Linked DNA regions of Oryzias latipes. The protein of the gene in region 1 interacts with the protein of each later gene in a pairwise test. Links are inferred from orthologs where the notes say so. Each region holds a gene or a part of one and is shown in the gene's direction. Other genes may lie near its edges.

Region 1 (3,838 bases):
AATGTTGCTGTTGCCATCTAACGGCAGCTGCGGAGCAAATGTAGGAAATTACAGTCATTTTTTAAAGGAAGGGGAGCAAGACGCTGAACAGGAACCTTGTAGGATCTCTGGAGAACTGTTGTAATTTCACACTTAGAAAGCCTGCACAGCAACAGTTAAACGTTCAATTTAAACTTAAATGTTTCCAAGAAGTGTCAAAAATATTTATTGTTAAGGTGTATTATAAGGATTAACTCATACCTGCAGTATATTGTATGTGTGTTTACATAAAGTATTTTCATCGCATCTGCTTCTTTTTAGGTGCTATTTCACATGTTTGCCTCAGAAAATATGGTTGCCATAAAAAAAAAGGCAAGATGAAACATGTTTGGACTAATAAACATTTTATGTACAAGGAAAAGCTTCAAATTCTGTTGCAACGCAATGTTTTGTATAGTTAATGCAGATGATGAAAAAATTATTGATTTCTTTTTCAAATAATGATAATAATACATTTTACAAAATTATGTACAAGACATTAGTTTGTATAAAACTGGGCTAATGTTTGTTTGTAAAGTTCATTGTTTAATTGCAGTTACACAACATGGTCACTAGAGAGCGACCTTGATTTACGTGTTCTTATTTTTAATACTTCTGTATGGGGCGCCGAATGTCTTTTGTTTTATGCAGTCAGTTGAAATTTTTCTTTTTATTTACCAATGAAAGGTGATTTTTAACAATTGGATTTTATAAAACAGACATTTTCGAAGTAAAAAGCACAGAATTTACGTGAATTTACTGAAAGGCAAATTTAAAATAACATTCAGGCAATGCTGATAAGATTTTTGGGAGCCATACTTGATCTTGATTAGTTTAAGATGAAGTTTTTTTTTTTAAGATTAAAACAGTTTAGTAATCTATTTTAAAGATTTATGTCTGTGGAGAAAAATCTGCTTCATCAAGAAGAGACTTTTGTATCGTGCAAGCAATTTGTGGAATTATGTAACACAGTATTGGAATTTCTTTCGTCTGCACAGCTAATCAATATGGCAAAAAGAGTTTTTGCTTTTCTCTGAATTATTTGTGTCATATTACATGATACATTTGTGAAAACTGCCATCACATTAATGAAAATAAACTTTGCACTTAAATCAGGTTGTGTTATTGTTTTTTTAATTGTACATTTTAAACTAAATGTGTTTTAAAAGGTGTTAGTCTGTCAGGCTGTCAGTTATTCTTTTGCTTTGCTGATTAGTTCATGTTAATTGTACAAATTTTAACTGCAATCTGCCTAGTGAACAGTAGGTGGCAGCAGTGATTCAAAAGCCCCCATCGGTCAGGTAATGACAAAAAAGGAAAAGGGGGCGTGTTTTTGTCTTAGGGGAATCATACTAATACTTTGAAGCGAGCCTCTGAGTTTGACTGCATTAGTGTGAGCTGCGACGATTTGACAGCCAAACGGGGATTACTTCATGCTTCAGGTACTCGTAAGGGAACTTTAGGAATTTAGTTCATCTTATTGGAGAGAAAAAAAGTAAAAATTCTGAACGATAAAATGAAAACGGAATTTTTCTGGAAGATGTTGAATGTACATCTTAAAAGGAATAAATGAAGGCCAGGGCCCCAAAACTTAAAGGGCATGGTGATCTGCATGTTTGGGAGAGCCTTGTCAAATTTATTTTTGCATTTATTTGACTTCTACTTTTTTAGTCATATTTTGCACTGAGAATCATGAATTCTTTTTTTACGTTGCAGCTTGATAGTTTCCTAAAGTTTAAGACTTAAAATGTAAATTATTTTTTTTAGGTTTTTCTTACATTTGTAAGTCATTAATATCTTCCATGTCATCGTAAAATCAGGGAATAAATGTGGGGATAAAGGAAATCATTTGAGTTTAATTAATTTTGTTAGTAAACCCATGATTTCTATGGGAGTTGTCTTTTTTGTGGTTGATATTTATGCACTTTCATATTTTTATGGACTCTTGAACAAACAAACAAACATTTGAATTTTAGTTTTTAGAATTTTCCAGGTTGTTTTGTAATGATTTGTGTGATGACTGTTTTTTTTAGTAACTTTGGTCGTCAGTCAGCTCAGGTGTGAGACGATGCAGCAAAGCAGCAGCAGCAGCAGCAGCAGGTTGATGCAGCAGCTGTGGGAAAGATGGACGTCCTCGGTGAAAAACCTTCAGGAAGATCCCTGGGTGAGGCACATTTCCGGGTCTGTGTAAAAGTTGTCTCTCTTTGGTGGATTCCTGCTGAATTCTCTCTCCGTCAGGTTGCTCGGTTGATGACCACGAGGATCGGCCAGTACGTCAGCAGCCATCCTTTCTTAGCTCTCACTCTGCTGATGTTCAGCATCATGGCTGCCCTTCCTGTTGGCATCTTCCTCACATTTGCCCTTGTGACAGCCATCGTTTCAGCAACAGGTTTTGTTTTCGTTGAAGGTAGGTATTCTCCACTCAGAAGGAACCATTTCTTCCTCCTTTTTGGTGACTTGTTCCCGCATTCACTACTTTGCTGTTCCAGTGATCCTTCTGATTGTTGGAGGCTTGACCCTGCTGTCCATCCTCGTCGGCATCGCCTTGTTCTCTCTGCTGGTTTCAGTCGTCGTTAATGCATTCATCAGCTCCATTCCCAGCCAACTGAAAAATTATTTCACACACTGGGCGAAGGTAGAGCTGCAGCATTGATCCGTCGTGCATATCTGGTGATGATTTAATGGTGGACTCTGTTCTCTGCAGAATGGCGTCAACCAGGCGCAGAAGACTGAGAATGAAACTTCCGGATTAAAGGAGTTGTAGTAGATTGCTTTGTCCTCCTAAAAGTTTTCATATTTTGAGGCGATTTGGATCCAATCTGAACGTACTGAATGTTAGCCTGATGAATGTGGTTTGTTGTTGGAACAGACTTGCTGAGCACCAAACTAACTTATGCATGAATGTCCACACCCAAAATGTGGTTTAAGAGGTTTTACAGGATAATTCATCCGTCAAAGTACATGCTTGAGTCTTTTTACAAGTCAATGTCTTTACAGCAAAGTATATATCTGTTATTAATCATCTTATTCAAAGTTATCCAAATATTAACTCTAATTTTCAACTGTGATGTGCCTTGACTTTTTTTTTTCTTCTTGCTGATCTTAAAATGTTTTACATTTCTTGGATTTGACATTCCTTCTATTTTATTCAGCAAATTTTCTATATTTTTTTTTAAATAGAAACATCCACCATCTTGGTTTTTACGATACAATGGAAGTTGTTTCTTTTTAAAAATAAAGTTTCTTGAATTGATCTTTGCCTTTCTTTGAAGTGTTTTCAAATTACAAACTGCTTTCTTTTATTAACAATCAATCAATCAGCATATAGGAGAGATGACTAGTTTTACCTGCACAGGTCACACCCGTAGATTTAAAATGAAGCCTTTAGACCAAACAATTTAAATGAAACTGTAATCTTAGTCTTAGTATTGGCCCCTGACAGCTGCAAAAAGTCTCATTTACAAAGAAGTCTTTCTCTTCTTTTGCAGTTTTCTAAGTAAACTGTTTGACATTAAACTGACATTTGTAAAATTGATTTGCAGCTTAACTGAATGGTTTTATATAAACCCTGAAAAAACTAGCTTTTTCCTCTTCTGGTTCTCTGAAAAGAAGCTGTTCCAAATGCCATTCCTATGAGGTCACTAACGTTTCAGTGATTTTCCACATTTTAACCTCTCATTTGAGCCACTGCTTGTTTTGGAGATTTTTTTTTTTTTGCCCTCCAGTAAAACACAAACTCACAATGGGGTCAGTTGACCAACTGGGCCAGAATCGTTTCCTCTATTTGGATTTTACAGAATGTCTTGGATCGTTCATTCAT
Region 2 (4,266 bases), on another chromosome or scaffold:
GCTGAGTCTATCAGGTGTTTTAGGCTCGTGTTTGTCTGGAACTTGAAAGGAGAATTTCAAGGATGATCTTATTTTTAAAGAAATCACAAAATCTAAAAAAAAAAAACTAAATATACTGTAAAAAAAAAAGACTTCTTTTACTTAAAACGCAAAGACATTATGAACAAAACAAAGCTCTCCAGAACATACAGTCTAAAATCTGTGTCTTTCTTTTTGCTGATTCTGTTTTTTTAGTTCAAACCAATGGAATATATTTTCAAATTTTCATCCAAATCTGAGAGGCAGATGATAAATCACTGCTATATTTGACCCTGGTCTCTTCCAGGTGGACCTGCTTCGTCTGCATAGCGAAGGCGGACCACATCACACAAAAGTGAGTCAGGTAGTGACTCAGCTTGAGCGAGCCTCTCAGGTGACTCAGCAGACCCTCGATGACATGCTGTGCCACACACCTGTGGGGAAGAGGAGACAAGCACCCATGGGCGAGGGGAGGAGGACCAGCCGAAGGACTCTGAAGCCTCTGAAGTCTGCTTTATTGTCAGAGTGAGGCCAGTTCTGCTCAGCGATGCAAATGTCTAATGTGGAGATTCACAATTTGGTTTATAAAAATGAGCTTTGTTACGACGCAGGTACAACTCACAGCAGTATTCATTGTACAGTTTTAAAATTGACCTAGAAAAACATAAATATTTTTATCACAACACTAAAAGTCAGATAACAGACTTTTGTTAGTAGAGATGTTTTTTTTTCCATTCATTTTTCATTATTAAACAAACTTTAACCACACCTCATGATTATTTTTGAAAAACCTCAACTTAGTAAATGTTACTTGAAAATAAGCTGCAGTTTCTTATAAAGACAGTCAAAATAAATCAGGCAGGGATGTATTTTGTATATCCTGTGTAAGTTTGGAGGGGGGTGTAATTGATTATTATATTTAATAAAAAAAATGTTTTGAAGAAGCTCTTTATACAAAAGACTCTTGTTTTTTACTCCAACATCGTTAAGGTTATGTCTTTCCAGATTCATGTATAATACCTGTACATGTATAAGGATTTGCTTCCTCCCACTCTCTTTTCTTGAAAAAAATTTTTTTTAATTCCAAGACATATATATATATATATATATATATATATATATATAAATCCCTTGCTGAGATGACTTGGTTACTTTTTTTATTTTATATAGTAAAAGAAGAGGTTGATGTATCCCACAGTTTTACACATTTTATTTTAACTTATTAAGAATAGCGTTTTATTTTGATTTGATTTATTGTCCCACAATCAAAACCATCCCAATTAATATTGAATTTATTTATGTTTTTTTCAACCCAAACGTCTGAAATGTTCAGGTTGACATTTTCTTCAGAACGGAACGCAAGCCACTAGCACAAACGGCAAGCAGTGTATATTGGAACGCACCCCATGTGTAAACAAACGCGTGACGTATGTCAAATCCCCTCCCACAGTGCATCTCTTTCATTGGCTCGGCTTCAAGTGAACCAGCTGAACCAAGCTTTATCAACTCAAAATTACAAAAAAAAAAAAAAAAATCCCAAAGAACAAGTTTACCGTTTTATAACAAGGGGCTGTAGTTTGAAAAACAAGCGAAAGTGGACTATCCTGTTACGGTTGCCGGTAAAATGCTTTTTAACATCTGCTAGCGCTTAGCTAGCAGTGACGGGAGAAGCCAAGTGGAATTCTGCTGGTGTCGTCAGACGGCTCACCCCAACACGTTTACACAAAGGAAAAAAATATATCTAGACAAACATATATTTTCTTATTTTTAATTGAACCTGGTTTTACTTTTTCGGAGCCCCGTTGGTGAGTAAACTAGCCAAGTCCCAGAGAGTCAGTTTGTTGGCTCTGGCTAACTTTAGACATTTGTGGAAAACACCATGAGCACCGAAGAGACCGCAGCAGCCAACAACACCGCTCCGGAGGATGATGGCATGACCTGGTGGTACAGATGGCTCTGCAAGACAGCAGGAGTTTTAGGAGGAGTGTGTGAGTAATTTCCAGATTAAGTTATTAGTTCATGTGGTTTTTAACAGTTTAATCCCAAGAGTACATACAAAATTATATGTTGGACATGTGTTGACTAAAATTTTCCATTTGGCTGTTGGTTTAATTAGTATATGATATTTTTAAACGAGTAAACCTTTGAGTTTGATTTCGTAAACTAGGCTTTGTCAATGCTTATTGTCCCCTCACCGCACTGGGCACCGCCTTTTCGGCGTGCCAGGCTCACTCCACCACAGCTGCTTGTGACTATGAGCAGATATAGATGCAAAGTCGCCGTTAAACGTCCCTTTTTGTACTTTCTATTGAAGAACACTGACTCACAAGCGCTGCCTGTGCAGATTTCCTGCTGATCAGCCGTTGTTGTCATTCTCAGTGACACTAGGATCACAGAGCCTGCAGTATCGCATGAACGCTGCAGATCCAGTGGGTCCTTTATTATTCAAAGCCTGGAAAGTTTTGAAGGAGCAGGGCGTGCTGCAGACTTTTTCCATGCTTTGAAACAGCTCAGGTGATGAGGCTTGTCATTGAAGCATCAAAGAAAGTCTGCCATTCTGAGATACACCTGCAAACTACAATCAAAGATTAATGGAAACCACTTTAACCAGTTTATTTATTGGGTTTCTGCTGGGTTTTTGGCAACATTTTGTTTCATTCACTGAATTTATAGTTTTTATTTTATTATATTTATTATCATAAGGGTTTGGATCAACCTACAATTTATTTATTTTTGTTTATCTTTCACCAACAACTTTGTTGTTTTCTCTTTTGTTACTAAGCCTATAGCTTTGGAAAATAAAATTGTTAAAGAGAAATATAAAAATATGTAAATCCAAGTATGCACACCAAAGGATTGTACAGATATTTATTTTTAACCCGAGTTTAATATTTTTAAAAAGTTAGTATTAGGAATAATCAAAATCAGAAAACTTTATTGATCCCACAGGGAAACTTGTGAATAGCCTACGTGCACGATAGAACTTCCGGTTAACTTCCGTGTTTCGAGTGTGAGGCCGACAACTTCCTGTTGGTCGTGTTATTGTTGTGGGGAGTTTTGTTGAGTTGCTAGTTTTGAGTAAATAGGAGCGGATTTCGGGTAAAAGAAAGGCGTTTGGTGTTTCAACGCGTGACAAAGACATCACAACATTGTTGTGTACCCGTGTGCGAATTTGTCAAAGTACAACAGTACTAATATAAGCTTTCATAGCTTTCCAGTAGATGTGTCGGTGAGAGCCGAATGGATGGTGAACACGGCGGGAGGACTTCACCCCAAGCAAGACGAGTCGTGTTTCGTATTTGCAGCAATCGGAAGGAAAATGCGTCATGTAAACACGCCGTTCGGAATACTTTGCCCCGGTCAGACTCGTTCGGATCAAAATTTCTTTCCGATCGAGATAGCTGGGTATACCGATCGTTGTTCATGTAAACGGTCATTCCGATCGTGTGTCACTGCTGCTCTGGGTTACGTCATGCATAGACGGTGTTTCGCTGAGAGAAAGCTTTGGAGCTCATACGGGACCGACCAGCGGCTCTGCGGACGCCCCGTGTAAACTAAAGCCCCGCTCCGCTCTCGCCCCGCTGGCTCTCCCCTCTCTTTCAACCCTCACGAGGGAGATGCGGGGGGGATGCGTGTCCACTGAGGTCTGGACCCGGCATCCGAACTCTGCGTTCGGGCTCCGGTGCCAGTGGACCGAGTGAACCTCTCTGAGCAGAGCAGCTGGATTTATTGATGTGTTTGAGGGGAGGGTGCTTTGTTATGTGTGCGTTTTGTTATGTGTGAGAATTCGGACTGCGAGCCGAACCGCCGCTCTGGGTTAGCGGCTGCCGGACTAGCGAGGACAGAGCAGAGCACACAGTGTGTGTGAGCTTTTCAGAGCAGAAATGCCGCTCAGTCCTCAGAAACTGTTCAAAAAAATCACGACACATGGAATTGTGTTTCTAATTGTGCCCCGACAAATAAAGGCTGATCATTTACGTGCAGCCAGGATGCAGATTGCAGCGTTTCCCACATGGTTTGTCCTGGATTTTGTCTCCATCAAAAGGCTAATGTTGTTAGCCTATCCTAACACTGGGTTGTTCTTCAGTTCTGTTCTTCTTCCACACAAAAAAGCACTGACATCAAGGATTAAATATAAAATGATGAGCGAACAGGCACTTCATAATATTCATAAAATTAATAAAAGCACGTTTGGAAGATCGCCTCGTATATTACCGAGCTGCTGCATAAATATGTGACAGCACAGGT
Region 3 (3,567 bases), on another chromosome or scaffold:
TGTGATGGGTACTAATGGTAAAAAAAACGGCTGATAACGGGTAAATGCTTTACCTGTTTGTCAGGGTCTCCTACGCCTTAATTGACCTATAAAAGGCAGAGGAATGCTTGTCGTTAAAATAATCCCAGATTGAATTGTATGGTGTCAAAAAACTTAAATCTCAAGTCATTCATTTTTTTTCTTTTTCTTTTTTTTTAGGGGAAAATAAGAAATCAGTTCTGGACTCGAGCCCTTTCCTGTCCGAGGCCAATGCAGAGCGCATCGTCCGAACGCTGTGCAAAGTCAGGGGAGCAGCCCTGAAGCTTGGACAGATGCTCAGCATTCAAGGTGAGCCACCTGGTTTCCTCTGCTCTGAATCAGTTCACCTGTCTTGTATGTCATTTTGTACACATTAATTGAAATCTTTATAAACAGTTTCTTTAAAACCTTTTATTAGTTGCGATTAAATGTGCCGTTTTTCCAGACCATAAGTCTCAGTACCGATGAATGGGTCTATTTTCATATATAGGTTCCTGTTCTGCTGCAGAACAGGAACTATGTACAGAACAGAAACTATAATGCATTAAGGTAGACAAAACTTTCAAATAATATGGCATGACTACACTACCCAGAATGCATAGAAGGGCCAAGAAGCAGGTGATTGGTCAGAGGGGTTGATGGAAAGTGTTCCAGCAAACCTTTGTAATTCCGGTTTTCCTCATCTTATCTGCAATAAGAAGCTTTTGCAAAAAGTGCAACACAACAGATAAGTCAAATGTTATTCACAATACTCTCAACATTGTTCAGTTGTTACATAAAATACAAAACACACACATTTTTCTTGCTGCATTCACTTTGTCAGTTCATAATGTTGAAGCACATTACGTATCACTCTGCCAGTTTTCTGACTACAATACCCATAATGCTATGGCAAAATGTCTTTGTAGTTTACCAAAGTCGTACTAAAACATGTTGTCAAACTTTTGCTAACAGTGTATTACAGAAAATTAATTAATGGTCAGTAAGAACAATGAGAAATCATGCATAAAACAAAGTAGATTTTTGAGAAAATTAAAGGATGTTTAAGTAAAATTTGTTCATCTTCATTCAGTCCACTGTTAGTAGGTCATGAATATTAGTCATTAATAAAAGTTAAGAAGTGTGTATTGAACTTGCAATGACAATATGTTTTTGGTGTGTTAGATTAGATTAGGTAAGAGTCAAAGGGAATAAAAACAAGCTGTGTATGGGTTTACTGCAGATATCACAGATAAGGCGAGCTCATGGCAGTAAACACCCGAGCCTGAAGGACATGAATGTGGCTCAGGTAGCCGCAGTAAACACATCATAACAGTTTTGTTTTTGCTGTGTTGCCCCACTCTCTGACCTTGCCTGGTGAGCATATTTAAAGCGGGATTCGTGTTCTAAACACATTGCAAACTCTTCATTGGAGCTTAGTGAAGTCAGAAAGCGCAGTAGTCAGGGAACTGCTATGCAGACCCTGCACATGTGGGGCTTCTCGGTGCAAAATGGCCCGGCTATCGTTTTACACGATGACAAGTTAATTCCTAAATCATGAGTAAAGAGGTCACAGCAGCTTCTGTGGACGCACTCTTCTTTATGCAGTTCCAGAAATGTTTGGACACGTGTTCATCTGGACGATAGAAAAGGAAACGTCCTCGGTGGCCTTTAATCCCCCTGTTGGAATTTATCTGCTATTGCATGGATGCAGGTTTTTAGCAGAGGATTGTTTATCCTCAGGTCTAAAATAGAGCTAACCTTGAGATGTCTAAACTGTCTTTAGCAGCGATTGTTGGTCTCGGCAGCTGTGACGAGCTCAGCCAACCTTAGCTGCTGCTAAGCTGCATTCCTTTTTGTTGTAATTAAAATAAAGCCTGGAGCCTTTTTTTTAACTCTGTCTGATTGTGTAAGGATTTTTTAGATAACAGATTACATAGAGCGACTTCTTTATAGTTTAAATCAGTGTTTTTCAACCAGTGTGCCGCGGCACACTAGTGTGCTGCGGGAGATGGTCAAGTGTGCCGTGGGAAATTACCCTCATTAATCATTCACTGATCTAAAAACATTTTCCATCTCCAGGAAATCAGCTCTTTGTTCATCCAAACAGGCACTGATAAAACACTGAGTAGTGAGGAATATAAAAGATCTTAAAATTACTTTTTCTTTGTGTTTATTTGATTCTATTAAAGACATTTTGATAAGAATGACGGTATTTACCTGCAGCTACAGCGGTTTGCGGAAAAGTCCCGCCCCTTTACCTGTCTCCACCAATCATTGTTGAAGGCTTAATCACATGTCAGCAGTCTGACCAATCAGAAGTGGTTAAAGTATTCACTTCCTTGTTCTTAATTCTGCTCATAAAGTCTCTCAGTTCCAACAAAAATACCAGCTAAAGCTCGTCTTTAGCGGTGTAGCTTTCCACAGAGTCCGGTGTCAGACCGTGAACAAAACAATGAAGCTCACAGACGCGAGTCTTTCTGCCCTTTTTCGGCAGTTTTCACACTACATCTCCCATGATGCATTGGCTTAAAGGGCCAGTGTCCAAGCGCACAATGAGTGTGCGTGAAATGTCTAGAAACCTCAATGGACAAACAGTTTCTAAATTTTCTAATTTAACTTTTATTTCATCTCTTAGAAAAAACAGCCGCAACTTCCTGCTTTTTTGGCCACAATTATCACAAAAAGCACGTGAGATTGCGGCGGGGGGGGGGGGGCTGTCGATCAATAGAGACCATGAATTTCTGCTTATTTTTTTTATTTTTTGGATGCTGGTGTGCCGCGGGATTTTTGTCAAGGTTAAAGTGTGCCGTGGCTCAAAAAAGGTTGAAAAACACTGGTTTAAATAATGCTTTTAAATTTAAATCTACACTATTTCCATAACATTTATTGATTAATTCTAGAGCAGATTTAGTGTTTTTTTAGAGTGTTTGTTTGGGATTTGACTTAATAATTAATATTTTTTTCCAGATGATGCCTTCATTAATCCACACTTGGCCAAGATTTTCGAGCGCGTCCGACAGAGCGCCGACTTCATGCCAATCAAGCAAATGACAGTAAGACTTTTCTCCCCTGAGAAATGTAGAATTTGCCCATTTTAGATGCTGTGAAGAAAAATAGGATTGATGGATTTAAATTGATACAACATCATGTTTATTGTTGCTCTACAGAAAGCACTAAACAGTGACTTGGGTCCAAATTGGAGAGACAAGCTGGAGTTTTTCGAGGAACGTCCGTTTGCAGCAGCTTCCATTGGGCAGGTTCACCTGGCGAGGATGAAGGACGGCAGAGAGGTGGCCATGAAAATACAGGTTTGGATTAAATTACTAAATAAAACCCTCACACAGTAAAAAAAGAATTGGAAAAAATGGAGAATTATAAGAAATTATGTCAGATTAGACTAAACATGTAGTTGTGTTGATTATTTCCTAGCTACATTTGAACAGGACAGATTTGTAAAATATTTAAAAAACGATATTAAAATAATAGAATATTGTCTGGATGTGTCTCCACAGTATCCTGGTGTGGCTCAGAGTATCAACAGTGACGTTAACAACTTGATGACCGTGC
Region 4 (3,567 bases), on another chromosome or scaffold:
ACATAGAGGACAAGGATGAAAAAAAGAAACGCTTGCACAAGGTGGGTGAGCCCAGATAAGACGGCTGACGGTGGTATCTGCCCCAAACAGACCTGCACAGGCCCCTGCGGGTCTGTCACCGTCAGCGCCGCATCCTTCTAATGAAGGAGAGGAGGGGCTGAACTTTTCCTGTGACCGTCCTGAGCATCCCAGCAGCAGCACAGCCGCTCTAATTGAAAATTAGCCCAAAGGGATGGAGCGAGTGTGAGATCGCGGCGCTCTCTGAGCCTCTGTGAAACCCACGTCGTTGTCATAAATCTGCAGATGCTGCCGTTTCCTACTTTAAAGCTGGGCTGATGTTATGAATTCCCGCTCAATCGTGTTGACAGATTAAAGCTTTGTGGAGGAAGTCTTTATTTTTTTATAAAAGAATAGGCCCATTTTCTCCACCCCAGATCTGTTCTAACCACTGCCAGATAAACGGTTCTCTGAATAAGTTTAACTTCTTGAAGACCCACTCTGATAAAAAAAACTGTGTTTTTGGTGATTTTGGCATGTTCTTGTGGCATTTTTGTGATGATGGAGGACATTTACATAAAATAATTAAGCTAAAACTGCATTTCTGAGTATTTCTTTATTAAAAATCGTTGTGAATCAGGCGCAGATGGAAAAATGTCAGGATTGGAAAAAAGATCTAATTCCTCGCCTTTCAGACCTACATGTCCATCTTCCAGCTGTCCAGAATGCCTTTTTTTGTCTTTGTGTCATCTTTACTGAGATTTTAACATGGCAGCTATGAAATCTGCTTTTGTTTGTGCGTTTAAAGTTCGACTACGATCATCTTTTGATCTATTTCCAAAGCGTTCCCAGTCAGCCTATTATTATTCCCTCTAAAGCTTAAATCAGAAGTCGTTTTTCTAGAACATAATTTGTGCAAAGCAGTAGGAGTTTATTAGAAATTCACCTCTGAGTTGTGGCCGGGACTGTTAGCGCAGAGTAAGCCCGCCCCCCTTTCCCAACACTCTGTCCTGCTATTTTTACAGCCCCTCTCAACCACAAGCTGGCATTAGCGGTGCAGCAAAAATGGCGGAAATATCAGAACTATCCAGCTAAACAGTTTAGATCCAGATCCGAGCAGAGGGATCGTTCATGGATCTATTTGTCTGACAGTGGACGCATCAGAATGGAGCAGAGCAGAGAGCTTATGACCCGTCGTTTGAAGCTTGTATGTATATACACGCTTTTTCAAACAGCAATTTTTGTCTGATTTAAACAACAAAAAAAACTCAGAAATGCAATTTTAATTAGAAAATGCCACAAAAAAGAAAATTATTTTCATTGGGTTGGGTCTTTCATTCTCAGAAATCAAACTGATCTTCATCATGAACTACCATCCTCATGAACTCCTCCCCAATCCTTCTCTCTTGTGCGAGTAATCTGTACTCTGACTGCTGCATGTTGTCAGGTGGCTCCCGTCATAAAAGCCCGGATGATGGAGTACGGCACAACTATGGTCAGCTACCAACCGCAAGGAGACAAGGTCAACTTCTTCCGCATGGTCATCTCAAATCCCGCTGCTACCTTCGAGGACATCGACTTTCTTATCGAAGAGATTGAACGCCTCGGCCATGATCTATAAGACTCTAAATTCTTTTTCCCCTTGGCGGATGAAATATTTGTCGTGAATGTACTGGTAACGTTTTTTTTCTCTCTCTTTCCTGCAAGTCATATATATATATATATATATATATATATATATATATACATATATATATATTTAAGATTACATTTGAGAAAAATATCTACAAATATGTCCATATATTAAGTATTGCAGCTTTGCCGTGGACCAAGCGGGTCCAGAGCTTTGTAAAAGTGCTTCTGTCTGCCTTTCTCATTGTGTAGTGGGAGTTGTGTTAAGTGACGTAACTATTTGTGTACTTTTTTGTGGGTTGACATGCCTGTCAGTCACAGAGGAAGAGGGTTTTTGTCTTTTTTCCTTCCTCGTTTGCAGAGTACGCGGTAAAGTGCCAAATGTGGTTGTGATCTGTGGAGGCTTTGGGTTCTTCACTTTTACCTCGGCTTCTTCAACTGCCCCCACGTCTGCACAAACAGGGACAATTCCAAACCGTCTGTAACGTTTAGCCGGGTCGTGCATGGTTAGGACACCGGAACATTTACACTATTTACCGATGACGCAAGCTGCTGGCATGTTGGCGAGAATAATCCACAACTTCTAGATTAAACTGGATGCTAATGCTGACAGCAACACTTTTTTATTGGCACTAATGCCGCTCGACAGTGTTGGTGGAACCTTTATTGACACAAACATGCTTCAACCTTTCATTTCGGTTCATCTGCCAAAATAGCATCTCACATCAAGTAAGCCTGTCGCTCTGGTGGTCATTTTGGGTACTGCATGTATTTTATTTGATCTTTCACAATGAGAATACGTTTCAGCTTCCAGAATTTAAAGTCCCTATTTTACGTGTTAACTACCATGTGCAGTTCAATTGAGGGGTTTTCCCGCTGACCCTGTTTCACCAAAAATAACTCCAGAAACTCCTTTTAATTTCTCCCAAGTTCTCCAGACTACACAGTCAAACCATGACTGAATCCATTCACCTGGAACAGTATGTTCAGTTCCCGTACGTGCAGCTAACGTCATCGTTCAGGTATTTTTAGGTATCAAGGTGGCCCCTAAGTGGGTCACCTTAAGTGCATGAAAAATAGACAACAGGGTGCAAGAAGACAATGACACTGAGTGACTAGGACTCAGACGTTAAGCTAAATACAAAATAATCACGCTAAGAAAAAGATCTTACCTATATATGTTTTTATTGAATTTAAGGTTAAATATATAAACTATAACATGGTAAAACTGTTCGGCTTTTGGATAGGCTCTAAAATAAATTATATTAAAGAAAATAACTTTATTGTTAAGGATTTGAGGACTGAGATTTCTTCTGAAGCAATATATTTAAGAAAAGATAGAAAATGAGGCAAACTTGTTCAATTTAACATTATTTCCCACAAAAAAAACACACGTTTCTGTGTTTCGTAAAGATTAAAATGAAAATAATATCTGAGAATTGTCTGTAGCATTTCCTTTAGAACAAGTTAGAAAAGCACAATTTACTCAACATGGTCAATCAGTGTACAATCACATGTGATCATGGACTGTAAATAGTATTTCAAGATGTCCTAAGTACATATCATTGTGTATACATACGTGTATATAAGACATATAGCCAGAGACTATTTGTGAGGTAAAAGTATTCATATTTTCTCTATCTCTGATATAGATCCTGTATTTTCATCTTATTAGTCCTGAAAAGCTTTTTCTTCTGTGTGTGTGTGTCGGAAACGTTGTGACTCTTCTCGCTATTTGAAAGGAAACGTGGTTCAGGCGTCGGCTTAACGGAAAGCAACGGATTTCGTCCTGATTTCCCGCGGAGTCCCACTCGGCCGACCTCCGCCGTTTAGGGTTTGAAACCGATATGCAAAGCCATTTTTAACTCTGTGTTTCAGTGTGCACAAGTGATGACTTGACGATATGTGCCGATGTGTACCTTAAATGTGTTTGTAACT

What was found.
Region 2: the proteins of tmem159 (region 1) and cacfd1 interact in binary tests that used the Homo sapiens proteins (3 or more experiments, as listed by UniProt). The two-hybrid records come from large-scale screens. The link is inferred for Oryzias latipes from reciprocal best matches to the Homo sapiens genes LDAF1 and CACFD1.
Region 3: the proteins of tmem159 (region 1) and coq8a interact in binary tests that used the Homo sapiens proteins (3 or more experiments, as listed by UniProt). The two-hybrid records come from large-scale screens. The link is inferred for Oryzias latipes from reciprocal best matches to the Homo sapiens genes LDAF1 and COQ8A.
Region 4: the proteins of tmem159 (region 1) and gad2 interact in binary tests that used the Homo sapiens proteins (3 or more experiments, as listed by UniProt). The two-hybrid records come from large-scale screens. The link is inferred for Oryzias latipes from reciprocal best matches to the Homo sapiens genes LDAF1 and GAD2.

What each region holds. Positions count from the first base shown.
Region 1 is NC_019866.2:11,613,661-11,617,498, forward strand, and holds tmem159 (promethin), read left to right. Parts: upstream 1-1,353; 5' UTR 1,354-1,460; intron 1,461-2,051; 5' UTR 2,052-2,086; coding exon 2,087-2,182; intron 2,183-2,256; coding exon 2,257-2,425; intron 2,426-2,507; coding exon 2,508-2,653; intron 2,654-2,722; coding exon 2,723-2,782; 3' UTR 2,783-3,271; downstream 3,272-3,838. UniProt on the Homo sapiens protein: Plays an important role in the formation of lipid droplets (LD) which are storage organelles at the center of lipid and energy homeostasis. In association with BSCL2/seipin, defines the sites of LD formation in the endoplasmic reticulum.
Region 2 is NC_019870.2:7,533,370-7,537,635, forward strand, and holds the start of cacfd1 (calcium channel flower homolog), read left to right. Parts: upstream 1-1,437; 5' UTR 1,438-1,897; coding exon 1,898-2,006; intron 2,007-4,266. Other genes in the region: ptcd2 (pentatricopeptide repeat-containing protein 2, mitochondrial), read left to right, coding at 326-547. UniProt on the Homo sapiens protein: Transmembrane protein which mediates synaptic endocytosis and fitness-based cell culling.
Region 3 is NC_019882.2:16,014,955-16,018,521, reverse strand, and holds part of coq8a (atypical kinase COQ8A, mitochondrial), read left to right. Parts: intron 1-198; coding exon 199-327; intron 328-2,967; coding exon 2,968-3,053; intron 3,054-3,167; coding exon 3,168-3,308; intron 3,309-3,512; coding exon 3,513-3,567. UniProt on the Homo sapiens protein: Atypical kinase involved in the biosynthesis of coenzyme Q, also named ubiquinone, an essential lipid-soluble electron transporter for aerobic cellular respiration.
Region 4 is NC_019878.2:23,106,604-23,110,170, reverse strand, and holds part of gad2 (glutamate decarboxylase 2), read left to right. Parts: coding exon 1-41; intron 42-1,444; coding exon 1,445-1,618; 3' UTR 1,619-3,567. UniProt on the Homo sapiens protein: Catalyzes the production of GABA.